Linked DNA regions of Tribolium castaneum. The protein of the gene in region 1 binds, or shares a complex with, the protein of each later gene. Links are inferred from orthologs where the notes say so. Each region holds a gene or a part of one and is shown in the gene's direction. Other genes may lie near its edges.

Region 1 (4,134 bases):
TAAATTTATTCACGAGCCGCCGCTGTCTCGCACACTCAAACCCGTCTTCTTATCTCACTTCACCCTCTAATCTCCGCTCTAATCTCCGACACGATTAAAAAAAGATGACCTAAACGCCACCAACACTTCATCTCACTCTCCCAGCCTCGGCACCCAATTAAAACAAGTGGGGGGAGTGGGAGTGCCCCCAATAAAACAATCAAATCAACAAATAACAATCGACTTTATCTCCTGCCAACTTGATTACATTGTGACATTTCGTAATGATTGCAACTCGCGTCCACGACCTACTTGACCGTCGAACAAAACAAAACACCATCACATCGTCTGCTTAAAATATTCTACATAAATATTAAACAGTTTAGTTCCACATTGTGCTATATATAGACCTCGAAATCGTCACAAACGTCACACGAGTGCGAGAGAGACGCCAACTGTGACGTGGCATCACGGCCAACTTCAATGATTCACACATAATCACATAAACTCGATTTTAGCCGGGAATTGTCGAAAGTGCTTGTGCGGCGTTGCCACATCGCACAAAACTGGGAAAAAAACGCCACAATCGGGCACAACCACCACAATTTGCGACCCGATCAAGGCGGCCGCGACTAACAAACGACAGTCAATTAACAACAATATTAAACAATTAAAACGCCTCCTAAAAACAGAAATTTTACCACAAATAAAACGTCCTTTTTGTGCCAAAGCCGCCTCTGATGTTAATTTCCCGACACGGCCCTTAATTTGCCCTTAAAAAAATAGGTTAGTTTGTTTAAAAGTCACCGACCTGCCTATTTCAGGCGCGGCCAATCGGAGCCAAGCCGGGCCGAACGGTGTGACACCGGCCACGCCCCCACGCTAAGCGCGACCAATCACGCCGTGGTAACTCTCAAACGGGGGGAACCCCGACCAATGGTGACAAAAGGGGCGTCAGTAACGGTTTAGGAGGTTTTGTTGCTTTTTCCATACCTCCTCAGTCCTCATACTATTATTATTACAACCTTGAATTTGATAGTGTTGTTATGGTAACAATAAGACGGTAGTTGGCCTCGGGTGAACTTGACCCCGCCATTGCCGGTAAATGGAAAAACTAGTGACAATTACGTCACGTCTAAGCAGGCCATGGACCCCGACAAGGTGAACAAAAGACAAACGATTGGCCATAAAACGAACAATAACGAACGTCTTGTTCTGTAAACTGAAGCAAAGCGGCTTATAAATAGATAAGAGGCCCCCTTGCTCCATTTGTCTATTTTTAGGCCCAAAATCAATATTTGCCGATTGGGCGCCATCTAGCGGAACGGTTGACCAACTTGGTAATAATTCCTGTCAATTAATTGATGTGATACTGTTATCAATTAAACCAAACGTCGCGACTAACAATTTGGTTGTGATTGTTTCAATTAATTAATAAAATTGGCTTGAATTATGTAGTGAGTCCAGGGAGTTTATTTTTTGTGGCCGCATGGTTGGTAACTCCCGGCAACAACAACCTAACCTGTGACTCGTTTGTTAACGTTTTGCAACGTTTTTTCACAAAAATCGTGCAAAAAGTGGCAAATTTGTCCCAAAAACCACTCGAATCATCGTTTTTTGTGCTCCGGTCGTGTGGATTTTACCGTTTTTGCTGTTTTTTGGGGTTATGTCGAGTCGTGTTTAGGGCCCCAAAAGCCAGAACATGGACGCGGATTTGTACGACGAGTTCGGTAATTACATCGGGCCTGAGCTGGACAGCGATGACGACGAGGACGAGGAGCCCGAGCCCCAGGAAGACGAGGAGCAGCAAGACTACGATGTGAGTGTCTCGAGGTCCCCAGAAGCCCCCTTATTGTCCCCTTTCAGGACGAGCAAATGGACGAGAGTGAGCCCCAACCCATGGCCATTGTCTTGCACGAGGACAAGCAATACTACCCGTCTGCTTTACAAGTCTATGGGCCTGATGTGGAGACTATTGTGCAAGAGGAGGACGCGCAGCCCCTTGACGTGCCTTTGATCGAACCGGTGAAGAAAAAGAAGTTTCAGTTGAAGGAGCAGGATTTGCCCGATACGACGTACAATATGGAGTAATTATTTGGGTGAAAGTAGGGGTAAAAATAATTTCACTTTTTGGTAGGTTTTTGGCCGATATGATGGACAATACGTCGCTGATACGTAACGTGGCCTTGATTGGGCACTTACATCATGGTAAAACCACGTTTGTTGATTGTTTGATTCGGCAAACGCATCCAGGGTATCAGGACTATGAAGAGAAAAATTTGAGATATACCGACACTTTGTTCACGGAGCAGGAAAGGGGCTGCTCGATCAAGTCGATCCCAATTACGCTACTTTTGCAGGACGTTAAGAACAAGAGTTACCTAATGAACATTTTTGACACTCCTGGTAATAACTCAATAATTAATCCTCCTTTAGACGCGATGTTTCGGCAAAAATTCGTCGACAAATCACCAGATTACGTAAAAAGTGTGGCGATTTTTGCATTTCTCAAACGCACACTTCTGAAGTGACGACCAGCAAATCATGAAAAGTGGTTGAAAATAATGCTGTTTTGCCTTTTTTGTAACATTTTAGATTATTTTTTCAGACAGAAAAACAACTATATTTTGATTTCATATTTTTTTGAGTAAAAATTTAGTGTTTCTCCGAGATTTCGATTCGAGTAGTTTGAGAAATCACTAAATAAAGTCAAAAAGATGTAACTTTTGCCTGATTCGAGAATTTTAGGGCATTTTTTAAAGCTAGAAACGCTATTTATTTCATAAGGTTTTCTCAAAAATTACAAAAAAATACGTAAAATACAGCAGTTTTTTGGGGTTTAAGCGCGTTTTTGTGCTAAAAACTCAATCTTCTTACGAGATTTCCCTAGAACTAGAATAGAAAATGACTAAATTGGGTCGAAAAATACACAATTTTTGGTATTTTTGCGAGTATTAGGACGATTTTAATCCAACGAGATTATTTCACTAAGTTGTTAAATAAGTAAAACATTTTTTGCTAAAACTGTGTTGAAAAATCAAATTTTTTTTTGCAGCACGTTTCTCAAAGGTATTTCGTTAAAAAAGAAGTAGCAAATGAAATAAAAAAATTAACTTTTTGAGCGTTTAAGTGCATTTTGACAAAACTTTACTATTTTACACTGTAAAGACTTTCTTTTTATTGCCGGTTTTTATGTAAATTATAGATGTGTTCTTATTAGTATTTACATTTTTCTAAGATTTTATGAAAAACACACAACAAAAATATTTACGCTTCTTTTAGATTGTTTTAGCAACGAGTAAACTAGTTTTCAACCAGCAAAGCAATTGTCTCCTAAATTTATAGCGCAATAAACCCAAAAATTGGGCCGAAAATAAAATTGTTTTGGCAAGTTTTTCAGCCAGAAATAATACGTTGTTCAAAATTTAGAAGTAATAGAGTTTTTTTTTACCTTTTAAAAAAGTGTGTGCGCGTTTTTGGCCCAAAAATGTAATAATTTCTCAAAAAAATCAGTCAGGTGGGGTCAGTATATAGATAAGCACATTTACAAATTTAAAAAGTTTTTCTTGACCACTTACGTGTGTTTGGGTTAGAACACCTTTTGTTAAAACCAGATCAAAATTTTCATCATCAAGGTGTTAATTTGCTAAATCCCACCAAGAAAACACAAAATAAGTTAAAATAATAGCTTATATTTTGCATTTTTTGAGCGTGTAACTTTAAATAAACAAATCACTAAACTTGACCTATTGAAAATTAATAATTTCTGTTCAAAATTTCGTGAAATCAGGTCGAATATAACATTAGTTTTACTGTCTTCTGGTGCTTTAGCATCTTTTATTGTTCAAAATGTTATTATTGTGTGAAATATCTCAAAAATAAACATGAAAAATAATTAATTTGTATCAAAAATCAAGGTATTTTTTGCGTATTTCTAGCTTTTTAATCCAGAAACGCAATTATTTAGCCAAGTTTGATTCGAAAATCACTAAGACTGTGTTGAAAAATTTTTTGCGTTTTCGGAAGTTATAGCACGTTTCTCAACATTATTTCAGGAAAATTTGTCAAAAAAATTGTGTGATTGATTGTTTGAGTACTTATATAAAAACAATTCTTTTATAATAATGATAAAACACTAAATTAGATCCATACAAA
Region 2 (2,640 bases), on another chromosome or scaffold:
CGAATAATTGGTAACAAATTGGACCGAAATTAGCTTTTTTACGTTGAATTTTTTTCCACACCATTCACACTTTGAGTTAGCAACAATTTTTTATGTATCTTTTGCACAAATCAACTTTTAAGCATTTGTTGTCTTAGAATGTTATAAGAAGTAATAAAAAAAAATGTTTGCACCGCACAAAATATATTAAAACATATTTTCTGAACTTACCTTTAAATTTTAATTTTAAATTTTTTTTTAGTTTTTTTTTTTGAAAACACGAATGTTCGGTAACTCAAAATATACTTTTTCAAATTATTGTGTATGTTATATCAAGTAGGTTGAGGAAGTCTAAATATTTAATTTAATTTAATGACCGGAACAACATTATTAATAACAAAAATCTTTTTTTCTATATTAATTACTTTGTTAATTTTAATGAATTCTTTTTCTACCTCAGAAGCTTGAGTACACGTATTTATTGGAAAGAATAATTATAGAACAGATTAAGATTCATAATTAATATAAAAAAGTATATTTTGCTGACAACTGCTAATTTGTAGAAAAGAATTGTAGAAAAATTTTGAAAAGAATTACATAGATAAAAAAAATTAAATATTTATTAGCAAACGCTGGAAACCAGACAGAAATGCCTAAGTTTGTTGTAGATTAAGTTTACAAAAATAATAATAATCTGAGTGATCAATGATTTTAAATCTAAGTTGGCCACAATAACTATCAAATCTAAACGTTAATTTTTGTACTCGATTTTTAAATTTCACCTACAATTTATAGTACCAATAATAAAAATAAGTGTTGCCAACTTAATTTCAAAATGTATTTTGCTCTGTTTTCCAGAACGGACAGATGATGATGATAGTGATGACGATGATAGCGAGATGGAGGATGCTTCTGACGAAGAATTGTCAATGGACGAAGATGAAGATTTCGATGAAGATGACCTTGAAATGAACGATGATGACAAAAGTATATTTTTTGTAATAATAAAACACAAAATTATCCTTTGCTTGCAGTGCTTCTGGGTGACTTAGACGACGATGAAGACGAGGAAGTTGTTTTTGACGATGAAGAACCGAAGTCAGCAAAATCAAAGAAGAAAAAATCCAAAGACACAAACTCAATATTTGCATCAGCTGAAGAATTTGCCTCATTGCTTGACGATGAAGGTAGTTCGAAAATAGCCCCAGGAAGTTCAAATGCGTTATCAAATAAGGATAATGCGAGCACTAAACAACTTGCCTGGGAACAGAGTAGAAATAGGTGGTTGAAGGGATTTGATGAAGTAGTTGGCAAAAAGAAAAATAGTAAAGGTAGCAATTTTGGCAAGAAAAGGAAAGGTCCAAATAAATTTAATAATAAGGCAAAGAAGAGGAAGAATTAATAATCGACAAGGAAGCAGTCGATTGCATTTTAATTAATATAATTCTTTACGAATCCACCAGTTTTGTGTTTTATTTAATTCGTGTTGGTTGTATTTCGCGAATATACAACTACACATAACCCATAACCTAACTTTTCGTGACGTTTAACAGTACGTTCTGTTTATTATCTTCGTGTTTACAATTTCGTACCAAATTCACAATAATTATCGTGTTTTGTGAAAATGGTGTGCGAAAAATGCCAAAAGAAGTTGGGCAAAGTGATAACACCAGATCCTTGGAAAAGTGGGGCTAGAAATACAACTGAGTCAGGGGGTAGGAAAGTTAACGAAAACAAGGCTTTAACAGCTAGCAAAAACAGATTTAATCCATACACGTCCAGTTTTGAGACTTGCAGGTTTGTTAATGCAAGTAATCCTTAAAATTGATTTACTCTTCTCATGTTTTTATTGTAGAATATGTAGGCAAAAGGTGCACCAGGTTGGGTCACATTATTGCCAGTCCTGTGCTTATAAAAAAGGAATTTGTGCGATGTGTGGTAAGAAATTGTTGAGTACGAAGAATTACAAACAATCGTCAACTTGAACTACATTTTGTGTGTTACTTTTAAACAAAATTAAGCCTATTCTAAGTTTTAGAGCAATTTGCATTGTTTTGTAGGTACTGTTAGGTTTTCTGTCTGTATACAGTGAGTGTACGACAATTTAATTATCTTGAATGATAAGGTGTGTAATTATATTTAATAACTTATGACAAAAGTTTTTTATTTCATTTTTATGATAACATTTTTAACTTATTAATTCATTTCTACCTATTCTATCCCTATTTCTTTTTTGTTATTAAGGTTGACTATACATTATTAAAACGCAACTATCAAATATTCTAGAATTATTATTTGGACTTTTTTATAAACTAAAAAACTGTACCTGTAATATTATTTCCACAAAGTTAAAATACGATTTTGTCTTATTGCACTAAAAAAATAATTGAAAAAATTGATGTCTGTCGTATTATTAAATACTTCTAAAAGTGGCTACACTGTATATAACCTTTTAGAAATGAATTTCAGCGATTGGATTTTAAAAATTCACTTCCCTGTATATAAAAAAAACGTGACGAAGTCGTAACAAAATTCAATGAATCAGACAAACCTCTTTGTTTTCCACCTTGCAGTAATTACTTATCTCAGTGATTATATTTTTTGTTGGTGACGTTTTATCCATACACTTACACAATACTGCCGTTTAATTTTATTCAGTTT
Region 3 (2,140 bases), on another chromosome or scaffold:
GTAAATCAGGCACCAATAAAAGTAATGGTTTATTGTGTATACCTAACTCGAATTTACCACCATACAAAGCAGATTTATTCACCTAAATGTCTATAAAAATTTCGACTCGACTAATGACTTTTTTTTTTCGTGTTGTGGAGACCGTGACCTCGACTTAGATCTTGAGTTATTTTGTTTACTATTCGATTCCCCTGAATCCCCCCAATCCGACAGATCATATTTCGATAAGTCTCCGTCGTCGTCATCCTCCTCCTCGTCCTCCTCCTGCTCCTCCTCTTCTTCCTCCTCAACCTTCTTCTCCACCTTATCTACACTATTTTTCATCTCCTTCACCTCCTCACTTTTCTTCTTTTTCCTCCTCCCGAACTCGTCATATTCGTCGTCAGACTCGTGCTCCTTATACTCGACCACCCCCCTGTCGTTATACCCCCCACCGAACCCCGTCCTCTCCTCCACCTCCCCAAACTTGGGGGCGTTACAAACGTTACACTGCTGCCTCCGCGCCCAATTCACGTTACCGCATTTGTTACACTGCCAATCGTCGGCACTAAACAACCCGCGACTTTTCTCTGCCGCCGCTTTACCGATCTCGTGCCCCAATTTGCGCTTTTTCGCCGACACCGGCCCCCGACTTTTGTAACAACGGTTACAGTTGTTACGGCGGGCGAAATTTACGTTACCGCAGTCCGGACACGTCCAGTCTCCCTCGTTCGACGCCGACGGGCTTTTCAGCGACGGCGGCGGGGGCGGTGTCACTTCGGCCTCTTCCATGGGGGCGATACTAGACTAGAAAAGGCGTAAAGAGTAGTGGCTAGAAGGAGCACTACTAGAGGGAACGGAGGAGCAAATGTTAACATCTGGCGGTACTGGTACTGCTTTTACCTTTACTGAACCTTTTTCCAGCGGTTATTCCAACAAATTTGTTGATAAAAAAGTAACGTCAAACCGAAGATGCACCGAAATGTCACTAGCACAGAGGGATTTTCGACGCCAAACGTTGCCCACACCAATCAGGACACGATCACCAAAACAACAATTGCCTTATTTCAACGCAACACTTACCGATTTCTGATTACAGTTATCACCAAAACCAATGACTTGTTTTGTTTAATTTTTTGCATTAACTATACGTTAAAAATGTGAAAAAATTGGGACAACTGATCATGCCCTGTACTTAGCAACTGTCAAATCTGTCAGTTTGTGTCAAGCGTTTGAAGAGCGTTTTAAATTTTAAAAACTCAAAAAAGTACACAAAATGTCGAAAGCACATCCTCCGGAATTGAAAAAGTGAGTCTTGTTTTGTCGTAGAACGTATTACTAGTTTTTTTGCAGATTTATGGACAAAAAATTGTGTTTGAAGTTGAATGGGGGCCGACAAGTCGTTGGTATTTTGCGCGGTTTCGACCCTTTTATGAATCTAGTGGTGGACGAGAGTGTGGAAGAGTGCCGGGATGGCAAGAAAAACAATATAGGGATGGTGGTACGTTTCTTTTGAATTAGTGTGGATTTGAAATTTGAGGTTATGTTTATTACAGGTGATCCGGGGAAACAGTATCGTCATGTTGGAGGCTCTAGATAGGATTTAGTTTGTAATTTTGGCTTAATCGATAATTATTTGTAATAAAAGCGTTCGATTCTGACCGAGTTTTCTTTTATTGGGCTTGGGGTAGGGTGGAAATAAGTGAATTAGGGTAATAGGAGGGAAAGCATTATCGTCGTCGCTTTTGTGCGTTCATTCACAAAGAAATTCAATTCGTATTGTTTTCCTCGAGCGGTTTGTCCGTAACAGTGTATGAAAAGCTTAGAGAATGTCGCATGCGCGCCGCCACTGTTCCACCGTCGGGAAAATATTGGAAACGTTCGCTAGTTTGGCATTAAAGCGTCTCGGCGGCGACGTTCCAGTGAAAATTTTCGTGTAGTGACGAGTTTTCCAGAGCCACATCACAATCAGCGTCAGGTATTGCCCCCATTGACAGTTTTTCCGGGAAAACATCCGGATCGAAATTAACACCCACTCGATTTTAATGTCATTTCCTTGGAAAATGAGTTTTTTGAGGAACAGTCTTAAAGCAACCACCCTTGACTAGGTCAAAGGAACACGCTGAAATGTATTGCCCTATAAGATTTCGCTTTAATTAGT
Region 4 (3,992 bases), on another chromosome or scaffold:
GGAAACTTCGTGACATGAATTTCGTCTTCGGCTGTAGGTCTTTTAAAAATTAATCACGAAAAGTACCGTTTAATTACCATCTCAACCTCATTCCGAAGGCTAGTCATCTCAGACAATACGAAATACCTGACCAAATACTCAACAAGATGATGACATCACCGGTTTTCCAAAAAACCGTCAATGATGGGTAAAATCATCTAAACCCGACACTGTCCCGTGCATTACATTGACCACCTGTCCAGTACGTACCTACTCAAAGCGATACCTGATCATTGACCTCATCATATAACTGTTCTTCGGCGTTTATGTGGGCTGCAGAGGGCAAATATTTTGAATATCGGTAAATCTACATACTCGCGCGAATTGAGCCCTGCGCCCCTGCAAACTTACCGCAAAAACCGTATTTTTGCTAATGGCCATCCTGTCCTGACTCTGGCACTTATGAGACTCGAAAAATTGCAAATCTAGCAAACAATAATTTTCGGTGCGTTTCACTCAAAATTGCCAATCCATATTTGAACCACCTTTTTTCTACTTTATTTTTTCACTAACTGGCACTGTGGTCACTGGTGCACTTTGGTCGGGTGCTGCACGAAATAATTTCTTTGAAGTGTGCCAGTAGACTGAAGACCAGGTTGTTCTTGAACTTGTGAAACGGAAATGATATAATGTTGTACCTGGGAGGGATTAAAGAACAAGAACAGTTGCTAAGTGGGAGAACACCCTGTTTTCCTATTATAACAGATGACTGGCTAATAGTCGACGGACCATTACGGTTCAATGGAGGCTACCTGTCTCATCTGGGCCCCCAATTATGTTGTGCTGAAGACAACTTTGTTTCTCGAGTTCTAAGAAAAATACCAATTGGGATTTGATTTCGTGAACAAAACAGTTTTTTTGACTAGCACTTTATGTTTAGAGCGTTTGATTGGGAGTGAATGACCGGCAAAAAGCAGTTCATTTGGGAATTTTTCCGGAATTTTATTTTTTACAACTGGGCTGCTCTTGTGTGCTATTTTTGCACAAAGTAGCGTTTTTGCCTCATTTTTAGTAAAATACGTGGTTGGGCGTTGTTGTAGTTTTGCGATAAAGCGGCTTTTATTAAAATAGGTTTGAATGAGTTCTCAGATTTTAAAGTCGCGCTTGGCCCGGTCGGTGCGGTAGAGCTGCGGTGGTAAGGCAGAATCTGGAATTATCAACAAATTTGACGCCATGACGCCACGCCATTTTGTTGGAAGCAACATGGATTTGTAGAATTTAGTGCGCGATTAATTGTAAAAAACGATGATTTTTTTATTGTGAGTCGCGTTAATCGGGAGTTTGCATTAACCGCTGTAGTTTAGTGTTATAGTAAATCATGTGAAGAATTCAATTATGTGTATATCGTGAAGTCAAGTACCGGCGTCTGTGCTACAGTTCCTCGTTTCTTGATTTAGTAATTTGAGTGGTTTTTGTTAGTTTGCAACGAAAGGACCATTTCCGGACTCTATGATGATGTATACGGTGAGTTTTTTGCAAGTGGATTACGTCCCCCCTTGGTGTTTATTAATAGAACTGTCAAATATTTTAAGGGATTATTGTTGTAAACAACTCGTTTCAGGGCACAACCACCGAGCAAGACAATCGCTTCAGCGATAAGGAAAAAAAGCTCCTGAAGCAGATGAAGTTCAGCGATTGTTTGAGTCAGAGGGTAAATTAAGCCAAGCGTAGGTACCGTGATAAAGCAGCGCTCAATTGCAGGTTGATATGTCCAAAATTAAACTTGATGTCATCAAGCCGTGGATCCAAGACAAATTAACGGAAATCTTGAAAATTGATGACGACGTCGTCGTCGATTTTGTTTATAATCAACTAGATGAGAAGGTACAACATTGCCAACTGAAACTCGCTTGCTTAAATATTTACGTTGCAGTTTCCCGATCCTAAAAAGATCCAAATCAATCTTACGGGGTTTCTGCATGGGAAAAACGCGCGCGAGTTCATGGCCGAGCTGTGGGCGCTCTTGATCTCAGCACAGGAGAACCCGTCCGGAATCCCCGACTCACTCTTGGACTTGAAGCGTGAAGAAATCATAAAAAAGAAGGTTTGCATAAATTACATACTTTTGGTGGTATCACCGCTTGTGTTATATTAGGAGAAAGAGGAAAAAGAGCGTGAGATTCGGGACCGGGAAAGAGAAAAAGAGCGCGAACGCGAAAAGTCCGACAAGGAGAAGAAATACAGGGATAGGGACAGGTCCAGGTCTAGGAGGAGATCACGGTCAAGGTCGCGGCCCAGGAGGCGGTCGGTTGAAAGGTCCAGCAGGAACAACGATAGAGGGAAGGACAAGAGGTCAAGGAGCCGTTCCAGATCCAGGATCAAGATTGATGATTTGAGGAACAACGGCAACGCAAGTCCCAACGAACGGGAGAATAATGGCAGAGAGGATTCTGCCAAATTGGAAAGCAGTACTGCCAATTCTAAACATAATTCGTAAGTTTGTTTACTGATAGATTAAATTTGTTGCGGAAATTAATTGCACGTTGTGGTAAGTGGTGAGTTTTGTAAATTGCTTCAGTAACTCGTGTTACGACACAATTTCAGCAAGATGCTAAAAATGGTTATTATTTTTATGACGCGCAAAATTCGTTGAATAAATAAATAAAGAACGTTAGAGAAAGTTGGTTTCTTTCTTGATTATATCACTGGCTAAAAGTATTTTAAGCAAGTGAAAAAATTTGCACATTTTAATACTGCGTGGATTTTTTGTTTAATAAGTTTTCTAAGGTTTGCGCTATTTTGGCACGTTTTGGGATTGATTTTATTTTTATTTGTTAACGTATTAAAATAATTGTGGATTAATTTTTGTGATTTTGTATGTATTTAATAAAAACCATTCTTTGTCAACATGCATTGATGATGCAGCTTTAATCATCTAATGATGGAACGTTATATTGGAAATGGACGTAGTTGTGTGAGCAAGTTGACTTTGTTATGTGATTCAAATAATTTTCTTAAAATTATTCGAATAGATATTAGTTTACAGGTTTTTTGTAATCTGTTTTTAATTACGTCGAAAAATTATGCAAACGGTTATTTACGTTACAAGGATTAAAAACGATATGTTGCATTACGTGGGTGAGTGATACGTTGTGTTTTCATAAGAGTAACGTACAATATTTTTTCTGTAGCTTTATTAAAACATTTTTTAATTATGTATTAAAATAAATGTTATTTTTATTACAAAATTACGTTGGTATTTATCACTTTTTATTTTGTTTTTTTTTTCACACTAATCATTATCGTGCCAGTGCCTGGTAAACACGAATTTATTAATAGATTTTTTATATTTGTATTAGAAGTTTTATTTCCCGGTGTTCTTCTTTGCCAAGAAAACATTTTTAAAGTTTTTTTGTCTTAGCTTGCGTCCAAGCACTTTTATTAAAAAAAGTCAGTTATATAAACTATATTATGGCTATAAATAAATACCTCAGTCTTATTGGTTTTATAAAACTTTATCGTCCATTGTATAAAATAATTACAAAAATTAAAAACCACTTGTAAGGAAGAATAACAGTTTAAATAATAGCGTTACCTTTTTTTTGTATGTGATGGGTTGTACCGATGTATTTAATGTTTGTTCGGACATTTTGTGTAATCAAAATGCATCGTTGGCTTCGTCTTGATTCCATTATTTTTGTTGCCCGTTTTGCAAACGATGTGGGCAGGTTTAACGTTGGCTTTACTGTCTAGAGAGAGTTCCCAGCCCGTGTCAAAGCTTCAAGCGAAGCTGATGTCCATGGCCGGCGGCAACGGCAAACAGCAGCAACAGCAGCGTAACTCCCGTTCCCGTTCGAAATCAGTATCTCGCTCCCGTTCAAAGTCGGCTTCACGCTCCAAGTCACCCAGCAAATCGCATTCGAGATCCCGTTCGTCGTCTAGTCCACGAGCATCAAAGGATCGCAAGTCGCGCTCCCTCTCCAAGGACAAGGAGAAACGTCGCTCCCGCTCCA
Region 5 (2,332 bases), on another chromosome or scaffold:
ATAATTGTGTAAAAATTTTCTAGAAATATATTATTCATGACACTGGTTGTTTGATCTGGGGCAGTTATTCCTGATAAAAAATGGTTATATTTAAATTACGATAAGTATAACGCAAACAAAAACTACAGGCTGATAGAGCATTTAGGGCCACATTCATAATCGGGTTTAAAAGAGCATTAAAGTAGATGTTTATTTTTCACAAATCTTTCACACATTCCAAAAAACATTTAATTTAATGCTCCGTTAAATTCGATTATGAAAGTGGGCCTACATTTTCGATGGCAAGAAATAAAAGCACAAAAATTATCATAAACAATATTAAAAAAAGCAAACTTTCACCATATTTTTTAAAACGCTGCAAATATGGTTGAAAAAAGTGTATAGAATGCTTTTTTCCGAGAAAGTCTGCCATATCATATTTCTATCATTAACCATTTATTAGGTTTAAACAAATTTAGCGTGAGCGGCTGAAATATGGCCTCAAGAATTTTTTTCCACAAAAAAATGTCTGTTAGCTGTTTCAAATTTATAAAAACGCCAACGTTGCATTTTACCGATTTTATTTTTAAATAAGATTGATAAAAATATGAAATAGTTATTATTGATTAAATCTCTTATTGAAACTATAAATTACATTAGTTATTATTTTTTTGAAGTGCATGAATAATTTATAATAGCTAATTTTGAGAGAAAATGCGACGTTAGCGTTTTTATAGTTTTGAGACAGCTAATAATATACGTATTTTTCCCCATTTTTTCAGTTCGTCTCCTTTTTTCTCAAAACAGTTAAAAACTGACCAAATAAACACATAATGTCTATATACGTAAAAAATTACTAAGTATAAAAACTAGCATAACATAATATAATAATAAATAATAGTATATTTAAAAACAAGTTTTCTATGGGATGAGTGCGCCAAAACCCTTATAAAACGAGAATGTTTTTATGATTTTTTCTTATTTTAATTAAATTTTTTTGTCGTCTAGGGAATTTCGTGTCAGTTGGTGACGGTAATAAATAATAAATAAAGAAGAAATGATGATTAAATCGATCGTACGTGTATTCCACGCATTATCGATGAAACTCTTGAAAACTAAATATCCCTAAATTCATTAAAGTACACTGTACTTTAATAGCCATAAACGACTCCTACTGATATATGTTAATACACGTGTATTATAAACGAAAAATATAATATAATAATAGAGAGACTGACCACTATCCTGTTACACTACAAAACGAAGGATTTTTAAGGCTCATATTTACAATTGCGCGTTATTCAAGTGAAAATAGTATAGCATTTTTGGTGGCACCTAAAGAAAATTTCAGAAATACAACACACCCTGTATAATAAATGTTAGCGAGAGGAATAAAAACCTAGGGACTTTTTTGCTGCCGAACAACAGTGGCAACCCTAACATTTAACACTAATGAGTAGTGAGTTGAGTTCGAGGTTAGGTGAACTTAGGAGCATCAAAACAAAAGTGTGTTTCTTCTTTGTGTGTCTCTATTTCGTAATTTACTGCAATTTGTAAAAGTAATGGGCGACCGCTACAACATCCACAGCCAGTTGGAGCATCTCCAATCGAAATATATCGGAACAGGCCACTCTGAAATAACGAAATACGAATGGCTGCTGAACCAGCATAGAGACAGTTACGCCAGTTATTTGGGGCACCACGATTTGTTAAATTATTTTGCGATTTGTGAGAACGAGGCAAAAGCCCGAGTTAGGTTTAATCTAATGGAGAAAATGCTTCAACCGTGTGGTCCACCTCCAGATAAACCCGAGGATTAGATTATAGTAAAGTCAATAAAAATTTTCATATAATCGTTGTTTTTTTTAAAAGACCATTTTAGAATTCTTCCGATAACTAAAATAATTGTAGCCGAAAGGTCTACTTTGTATTTCATTTCGCCTTTATTAGAATAGAATACCTACTTTATTTGTGTCAATACTAATTGCACTAATAGAGTATTCCACACACGCCGCAAAATTAACTTACATTTAAATAGGTATTACTGTATTACATAGGCAAGATATCACTAAAATCATTCCGAAGATATGTATTCCTTAATCGAATAAAAAGTTTTGGAAATTAAATAGTGTTTCAAGTTCTTTAATAAAAACATGGAGGAAAATTTCTAAAGGTAGTGGAAGGGCATTTAAAAATGTATTTATTTATTACCCTTATTAGGAATATAATTTTTTCTAGTACAATAATTTATGACTTTAAGAGAATATTCTTAGCTTTAGTTCGCTGCATTTTTATAAAAAAAAAACAGATTTTCAATATATTTATTTTTTATTTACCAATTATAGTGACAATA
Region 6 (3,733 bases), on another chromosome or scaffold:
TTGGACAACTCAGCACCCGTAAGTAACTGGGGGAAGTACACAAATGTAGTTCTTACGTAACAGTTCTTAGAAACACGTCAAGACCCCAGTTGTAAAAAATGACAAAAATCAGTGAAATCAGCCGAAATTCGTCTGCAAGCCTTTCCGACGATGACGAGGAGACAAGAGTGCGCAAATTTGCAAAACACATGCTCAAGAGCTCCCTATTTATCGGTACGTTTCTGGAAAAAAGGCTGGTTGAACCTTTGAACTCGTACCGCGATGTAATTAAAATATGCGACGATGAACACGACCTTATTGCGAATTTAAAAGCAGTGAGGAAGCGCTGCTTGAAGCATTTTACCAAAAATGTGTGGATTGGTATCACGGAGCCGAAAACAATCGGGGCCCCGGCAGGTTACAATTTGTGGGTGAGTCTGGACGAAGAGGTTTTTGGGAGTTTTTGGTACAAAATCAAAAACGTTGAATTCTTCCACAATGAAGTTAGAGTCAAGCTTGAAGTTGTGAGGCCAGTCAGAGAGAAGACTCCAGTTCATAATATAACTCCCACTCAGATTTTTGAAGACGTTTCTCAGAAGAATTTGGGTGAATTGGGTGCAAAATTTCAGGAGTTTTTCAAGGATCAGTTGAGGAACTTGTTTACTGAAACCTTGACTTGGCCCAACATTAAACAAGCCACCATATTTATGGTTCTTTTGTTATCAACACTGATCACTTTCTTGATACACACCATCAAGTACCTTCTAGACTATCTCCTGAAACTTTTGCGTGAAACGCAAGGACTTATCAGGGTTTGCACCCCAATTATTGTCAACTTTATGACTTTAATTTCGAATACCATTTGTGGATTTTATTCTTTATTGGCGGTTTTGTGGCGAAATCGGTCACCACCAATCAATCAATTACACATATCTCCGTATGATGTACCATATTATAGAAGTAATATGAGGGCATTACCTTACCAGGCAGGAGACTTTCAAAGGTATCGCAAATCTCGCGGATCTTCAGTCAAGATCACTCCGTTGGATTAAGTTTCTTTGCATTATATAATTCTGTTTGCATTTTTAATCACATCGCTGCAAAGTGGGGCACTAGGCAAAGCTACTTTATTGTAGTCGACTCACAATGTAAATAATTTGTGTAATATTGCTTTTATCTGGGCTCAGGAATGTTGACATTGGGACTTGTACAGATAAAAACTAGATGCGTTTTGTGGTCAAAAAACTATGTATTTTATTGTAGACTTAATAACGAAATATTTATAAGTGAAACAACTCGTATCTATTTTTATAATTGTTGAAAAATACAAATGTTAAAAAAATTGGCGTGCTTTTATTTTGTGACCAAAACTACCCAAATAAGAAATTCAATTCAATTTGGTATGGAAATTAACTATTTTTTGGTTAAAAAAAAAAAAAACTCAAACTCCCTCCACGGTTGAGTCAATAGTAGTTTCTTTTCCTGTCTATTCTACGAACCAAAAGTTACCAAATGGTGGATTTGGTGATTTTTTGCAGAGAGGTTAAGTACGATTTTGTTTATTTACCCGAAGATTAATTACTAGTATTACAATTCAGTAAATATCCGGAGTTAAATACTCGTCTTCACAATGACCGAAGACGTGCAGAGACACTCCGTACATACGTTAGTATTCCGTTCCTTGAAACGGTCTCACGACATGTTTCTCTCAAACCAGGGACTACTGCCATCAGTGGACGAAAAAGCGTGAGTAACAAACCACAAAAACAAGCAGCCCTTAATATTACGAATTAAATAGCGAAATGGTGCGAAAAGCCATAAAAGCCCGTGACTTGTACGGCCTAGTCTTTGACGACGTTAAGAAAATGCAAGCTATGAAGCACTTACGGGAGGCAGAAGCTGGGCCAAACCCCCCACCACCGGGCACACGCACTGACGACGCGGCCCCAAACACCGAGGGGGCTGTTGTACCGTACACTGACACAAGTTTGATGACACGAAGCGTCCAAAATAACACACAAAACCAGCTCGCCAATTTAATGAAAAAAGTCCCCACAATGCCAAAGCCGAAATGGCACGCCCCTTGGAAGCTATACAGGGTGATTGCGGGGCATTTGGGGTGGGTCAGGTGTGTTTCGGTGGAGCCAGGAAATGAGGTATAAAATTTTTGTTGGCAGCAAATTTGTTACCGTTTTTTTGTTAGTGGTTTGCGACCGGCGCAGCGGACCGAATAATAAAAATCTGGGACCTGGCAAGTGGGCAGTTGAAAGTGTCCCTAACTGGGCATGTGAGCACGGTCAGAGGGTTGGCTGTGAGCAGTAGACACCCTTATTTGTTCAGTTGCGGTGAAGACAGACAGGTCAAGTGTTGGGATTTGGAGTACAACAAAGTCATTAGACATTACCATGGCCATTTATCGGCTGTATACTCTCTAGCGCTTCACCCCACAATCGATGTTTTATTAACAGCAGGGCGTGATTCAACAGCCCGGGTTTGGGACATGAGGACGAAAGCAAATGTTCACACTTTGACCGGCCACACGCATACTGTAGCTAGCGTGGTGGCGCAAGCCTCCGAACCTCAAGTTATCACAGGATCTCATGATACCACAATCAGATTATGGGACCTGGCAGCTGGGAAATCAATTTGTACGCTTACCAATCACAAAAAGAGCGTTAGAGATGTGATTCTCCACCCGACTTTGTACGATTGTTTAATTATTTTTTTTGTAATTATTTTATTATTTGTAGGAACATGTTCGCGTCGGGCTCACCCGATAACATAAAACAGTGGAAATGTCCTGACGGGAAATTCATACAGAATTTGTCCGGTCATAATGCTATTGTTAATTGTCTCGCTGTCAATCCAGAAGGCGTCCTGGTTTCAGGGGGCGATAATGGAACTTTACATTTCTGGGATTGGAGGACCGGTTACAATTTCCAAAGATTACAAGTAATTTTTGTAACTTTGAAGGAAGTCAATCGATTAATGTTACATTTTTAGGCCCCAGTACAACCTGGGTCAATGGACAGTGAAGCTGGAATATTCTCAATGATTTTCGACAATTCTGGCTCAAGATTAATCACAACTGAAGCTGACAAGACCATCAAAATCTACAAAGAGGATGAAACTGCGACTGAAGAAACGCATCCGATTAACTGGAAACCCGATATTTTGAAACGGAGGAAATTCTAATTCTATGATTAAAATAATTTGTATTTTTATAAAAATAATAAATAAAATTTTATGAGCTACTAAAAAGTTTTAATTTTACCCAACTTTGCATTATTTATCAAATTTTCCGAAAATTAATCAAACCATTTGACATTTCTAGACCATTAATAATCGCAGAAGTGCACAAAACTTACGATTTTCTAGATGTAAAATCGTGAGGGTAAAGGTTAAAATGCTCTACGATAAATAATTTTTAATTTGATAAAAACAATAAATTAATTCGTTTGCGAATTTGGAATGCTTGTTACCAATCATATTTCCTCGTTCAAGTCGTAATCTTCCTCAGGGAAGTCGCCACATTCAACGTTGTGTGGCTTAACAAAGGCGCCATAATTATTAGCACATTCAAAATATTTCTTGCCTTTAAATCTGCAACAAAAGCTAGAATTTTTTTTCAACTGATGGTCGTAACTTACGTTCCATCGTTTTTGCCCAAAGGTTCGTCATACTTGACCCCTATCCAATATCCAGGTAAGGTCTCAACAGGCCCTGTGTACATCACAGTGCCAAGTCTGCAGGG
Region 7 (2,765 bases), on another chromosome or scaffold:
GATAAACAATTTCGGTGTTTTTACAAAACGCATCATCCCATAGATGTTAAAAAATTGCTAACGAAAAGTTACCACATTTTGGCCAAGACGGGCGAGGCCGTGCACCCACGGCAATATTTGAACATGTTCAAGAAAATTAATTTGGGGGAATACCCCAATTTTTGTGATTACCCCAAAACCATGATCGAGATGTCGGATAAAGAGGCCGAGATGAAGAGAGAGATGGCGGGGTTGAAAACAGACGAGGTTGATTTGTTCAGACGCCGATTGATTAGTTTGGAGCGGTTGCAAAATTTCGAAGTGGAGGAAGAAGAGAATAAGCGAATTTTGGGTAAGTTTTTGTACATTTTTTGGGGTTTTAATTAAATAAATTGTCAGAAATGGAACGCGCGATTCGTAATCAATTGTTGGAGGAGCAAACCCGTGTCCAGGAGTACTACGAAAGGGTGGCCAACCTGCGCGAAAAATTCCACCAAGAAGACAAAATTTTGGCCTCCTTAAGACACCAAATAGCGAAGGAACAGCAATTGAAAAGCCGCCGAAAATACCTATCGTCGATTATGGACGATGTCAGGTTCCGAAAAGGCGAGAAAGGTTACGCCTTGACCAAGACCGAGGACGAACTCCTCTTCCACTATGCCGAACTTTTGAAAAACAAGTACAAAATCGAAAAGTTACTAAACACTGATGAAGTTGTCACAAGTACAAAACTATCAGTTGATCAACAACAGGAACAATTATCGAACGAAATCAATTTTGTGCGGAGTAGTGAAGAGCCCCGCAAACATTTGAAGATGTTAAATCTGACAACGGGGCTTGAAGCCATGGATGCTCTAATCGAAAAAGTCGAAAGTGAGCTGGAAAAACAAAAGAGCGGGAGTGACAGTGATGCCGATCGACGCGTTGTCGCCCTGCAAGCGGAAAGCAAAGAGTTGGCGTTGAAAATTGCCAATTTAATCGAGCTACTTGCCAATTTAAGGAGTGAGGAAGTGGGCGGATAGCACAATCAATTTTATTATAAGTTGTATCGTTTCTATTTATACGTTTTATGATCTCATATGCACCTGTGATATGTTTTTAAACGGCAATAAATTTACAAACCGATGTGAAGTCGCCTTAATAGTTCCAGCCGCGGTGTGAATGCACCTTAACGCAATTAACACAAACGTCAAACGTACGTCAAATACCTAACCTATTTTTTGAACATTTGTTTTATTTGTATTTGTTCATGTTTTTCGGGGTCAGAGGCCCCACAATCACGCACCATGAATCCGTTAACGTAAGTATTGTCGATTTTTTGCCCCAATTTTGCGAAGTTGTCTTTCCAGGAACATGAAAAATGTGAAGAAACTGAGCGAACAGGAGCTCTACACCGGTAATAAAACCTCCTGGCATGACCAATACAGGGACAGTGCGTGGGTTTTCATCGGCGGTTTGCCCTTCGACCTGACCGAGGGCGACATAATTTGCATTTTCTCGCAGTATGGCGAAGTGGTGAACATAAACCTGATCAGGGATAAGGACTCGGGCAAGTCAAAGGGCTTCTGTTTCCTGTGCTACGAGGACCAAAGATCGACCGACTTGGCCGTTGATAATTTCAACGGAATCAAAATCTTGAACAGGACGATACGAGTCGACCACGTCAGTAACTACAAGGTGCCCAAACAGGGCAAGAAAACGGACGCTGAGACGAAGAAACTGTACGATGAGGGCTGTGCCCCCAAGGCCGTCCCTGTGCAAGTTCCTGTCAAAGCGCCAGTGAAGATTAAAACAGACCCTGACGATTTTCGCGAAACACTGGCCGACCAGATTAATTCTGAGATCAAGTTGCCTGAGCGCTTGCCCATTTACACGATAAAAAAGGAGAAAGTGGACGAGGAGGCGCCGCCGGAGCCTGTTGTCACGAAAGAGAAGAAGGAAAAGAAACACAAGAAGGAGAAAAAGAAGAAGAAGAAAAAGAAGTCGGACGAAAACAGCAGCGAATCCGATTCAGATAGGAAGAAGAAAAAGAAGAAGAAGGGCGAGTCAGGGTCGGATTACTCCGCTGAAGACAGCGTGTCAGAGGACGAGGATAGGAGGAAGCGGTCGCGGAGTCCGAATAAGAAAAAGCGCTGATTTACTAACATCTATTTACAGCTCTGTGCTTCATATCTTCATTATCAGTAAGCTCGTCTTCACCTTGCGTCACATTGACATATTTTTTCAAAATGTGGGAGACACTCCCTAGACCATTATTCTCCAAATAATATAGCGAGAAGTGTGAAACTCCCGTGTTAATTATTCGAGCCCCTCCGAGACACTCGCCATCTTTCGACAAGACAGCGAACTGTCCCGGAGTGATGGCCCTCTTGTACCTATTCACTTTAATAATCAGTCCTTTACTTGTTTGGCACACCTGGCATTTGACCCAATATTTGGTGTGTTGGAACTTGAAATCGCACTCCAAAACCCCGTTTTGTAAATCAGGGGGCTGTGAGTGGATCCAGTGGGGCTCACTGGTCAAAATTATGTTCGTGTAAAGTAACGGGTGTTTTGTCCCTTTGACTACGTAAATTATGTTCTTGTCTACGTCTTTCCGGGCCACGAAATAAGGGCTTTCGTAGCTGTGGAGGCGCGCCCTTTGCCCCAAAGTCCACTGGTGCACCCCATTGTGTTGACCCACGACTTTCGCAGTGTCAACGTCCACGAAATCGCCCGGTTTATCATCAATATACTGAAAAAAATGTTTAGTCAAGTGACCAGTGCAAAGCTTCTTTGACCAATGA

Evidence for each region.
Region 2: 116 kDa U5 small nuclear ribonucleoprotein component (region 1) and cysteine-rich PDZ-binding protein share a complex: the UniProt entries of both Homo sapiens proteins name them as parts of the minor spliceosome. The link is inferred for Tribolium castaneum from reciprocal best matches to the Homo sapiens genes EFTUD2 and CRIPT.
Region 3: 116 kDa U5 small nuclear ribonucleoprotein component (region 1) and SNRPG share a complex: the UniProt entries of both Homo sapiens proteins name them as parts of the minor spliceosome. The link is inferred for Tribolium castaneum from reciprocal best matches to the Homo sapiens genes EFTUD2 and SNRPG.
Region 4: 116 kDa U5 small nuclear ribonucleoprotein component (region 1) and Srrm1 share a complex: the UniProt entries of both Homo sapiens proteins name them as parts of the minor spliceosome. The link is inferred for Tribolium castaneum from reciprocal best matches to the Homo sapiens genes EFTUD2 and SRRM1.
Region 5: 116 kDa U5 small nuclear ribonucleoprotein component (region 1) and Sf3b5 share a complex: the UniProt entries of both Homo sapiens proteins name them as parts of the minor spliceosome. The link is inferred for Tribolium castaneum from reciprocal best matches to the Homo sapiens genes EFTUD2 and SF3B5.
Region 6: 116 kDa U5 small nuclear ribonucleoprotein component (region 1) and Tango4 share a complex: the UniProt entries of both Homo sapiens proteins name them as parts of the minor spliceosome. The link is inferred for Tribolium castaneum from reciprocal best matches to the Homo sapiens genes EFTUD2 and PLRG1.
Region 7: 116 kDa U5 small nuclear ribonucleoprotein component (region 1) and RNA-binding motif protein, X-linked 2 share a complex: the UniProt entries of both Homo sapiens proteins name them as parts of the minor spliceosome. The link is inferred for Tribolium castaneum from reciprocal best matches to the Homo sapiens genes EFTUD2 and RBMX2.

The regions. Positions count from the first base shown.
Region 1 is NC_087401.1:10,799,871-10,804,004, forward strand, and holds the start of 116 kDa U5 small nuclear ribonucleoprotein component, read left to right. Parts: upstream 1-1,334; 5' UTR 1,335-1,681; coding exon 1,682-1,798; intron 1,799-1,845; coding exon 1,846-2,066; intron 2,067-2,116; coding exon 2,117-2,385; intron 2,386-4,134. UniProt on the Homo sapiens protein: Required for pre-mRNA splicing as component of the spliceosome, including pre-catalytic, catalytic and post-catalytic spliceosomal complexes. Component of the U5 snRNP and the U4/U6-U5 tri-snRNP complex, a building block of the spliceosome.
Region 2 is NC_087394.1:8,405,410-8,408,049, forward strand, and holds cysteine-rich PDZ-binding protein, read left to right. Parts: upstream 1-1,486; 5' UTR 1,487-1,603; coding exon 1,604-1,776; intron 1,777-1,834; coding exon 1,835-1,964; 3' UTR 1,965-2,140; downstream 2,141-2,640. Other genes in the region: Noc1 (CCAAT/enhancer-binding protein zeta), read left to right, coding at 838-966, 1,014-1,381. UniProt on the Homo sapiens protein: As a component of the minor spliceosome, involved in the splicing of U12-type introns in pre-mRNAs. Involved in the cytoskeletal anchoring of DLG4 in excitatory synapses.
Region 3 is NC_087395.1:18,416,666-18,418,805, forward strand, and holds SNRPG (probable small nuclear ribonucleoprotein G), read left to right. Parts: upstream 1-1,127; 5' UTR 1,128-1,255; coding exon 1,256-1,287; intron 1,288-1,332; coding exon 1,333-1,480; intron 1,481-1,535; coding exon 1,536-1,586; 3' UTR 1,587-1,640; downstream 1,641-2,140. Other genes in the region: zinc finger Ran-binding domain-containing protein 2, read right to left, coding at 91-771. UniProt on the Homo sapiens protein: Plays a role in pre-mRNA splicing as a core component of the spliceosomal U1, U2, U4 and U5 small nuclear ribonucleoproteins (snRNPs), the building blocks of the spliceosome.
Region 4 is NC_087398.1:3,112,118-3,116,109, forward strand, and holds the start of Srrm1 (serine/arginine repetitive matrix protein 1), read left to right. Parts: upstream 1-1,192; 5' UTR 1,193-1,488; coding exon 1,489-1,503; intron 1,504-1,600; coding exon 1,601-1,690; intron 1,691-1,740; coding exon 1,741-1,863; intron 1,864-1,912; coding exon 1,913-2,083; intron 2,084-2,134; coding exon 2,135-2,472; intron 2,473-3,732; coding exon 3,733-3,992. UniProt on the Homo sapiens protein: Part of pre- and post-splicing multiprotein mRNP complexes. As a component of the minor spliceosome, involved in the splicing of U12-type introns in pre-mRNAs. Involved in numerous pre-mRNA processing events.
Region 5 is NC_087396.1:17,669,865-17,672,196, forward strand, and holds Sf3b5 (splicing factor 3B subunit 5), read left to right. Parts: upstream 1-1,361; 5' UTR 1,362-1,485; intron 1,486-1,539; 5' UTR 1,540-1,541; coding exon 1,542-1,799; 3' UTR 1,800-1,832; downstream 1,833-2,332. UniProt on the Homo sapiens protein: Component of the 17S U2 SnRNP complex of the spliceosome, a large ribonucleoprotein complex that removes introns from transcribed pre-mRNAs.
Region 6 is NC_087397.1:4,268,902-4,272,634, reverse strand, and holds Tango4 (pleiotropic regulator 1), read left to right. Parts: upstream 1-1,413; 5' UTR 1,414-1,526; intron 1,527-1,577; 5' UTR 1,578-1,609; coding exon 1,610-1,725; intron 1,726-1,777; coding exon 1,778-2,135; intron 2,136-2,182; coding exon 2,183-2,682; intron 2,683-2,729; coding exon 2,730-2,931; intron 2,932-2,982; coding exon 2,983-3,174; 3' UTR 3,175-3,233; downstream 3,234-3,733. Other genes in the region: uncharacterized protein LOC656577, read left to right, coding at 99-1,031; Tbcb (tubulin-folding cofactor B), read right to left, coding at 3,465-3,582, 3,630-3,733. UniProt on the Homo sapiens protein: Involved in pre-mRNA splicing as component of the spliceosome. Component of the PRP19-CDC5L complex that forms an integral part of the spliceosome and is required for activating pre-mRNA splicing.
Region 7 is NC_087396.1:22,565,046-22,567,810, reverse strand, and holds RNA-binding motif protein, X-linked 2, read left to right. Parts: upstream 1-1,126; 5' UTR 1,127-1,265; coding exon 1,266-1,279; intron 1,280-1,328; coding exon 1,329-2,115; 3' UTR 2,116-2,119; downstream 2,120-2,765. Other genes in the region: TBC1 domain family member 31, read left to right, coding at 1-331, 379-1,001; mitochondrial tRNA-specific 2-thiouridylase 1, read right to left, coding at 2,120-2,713. UniProt on the Homo sapiens protein: Involved in pre-mRNA splicing as component of the activated spliceosome. As a component of the minor spliceosome, involved in the splicing of U12-type introns in pre-mRNAs.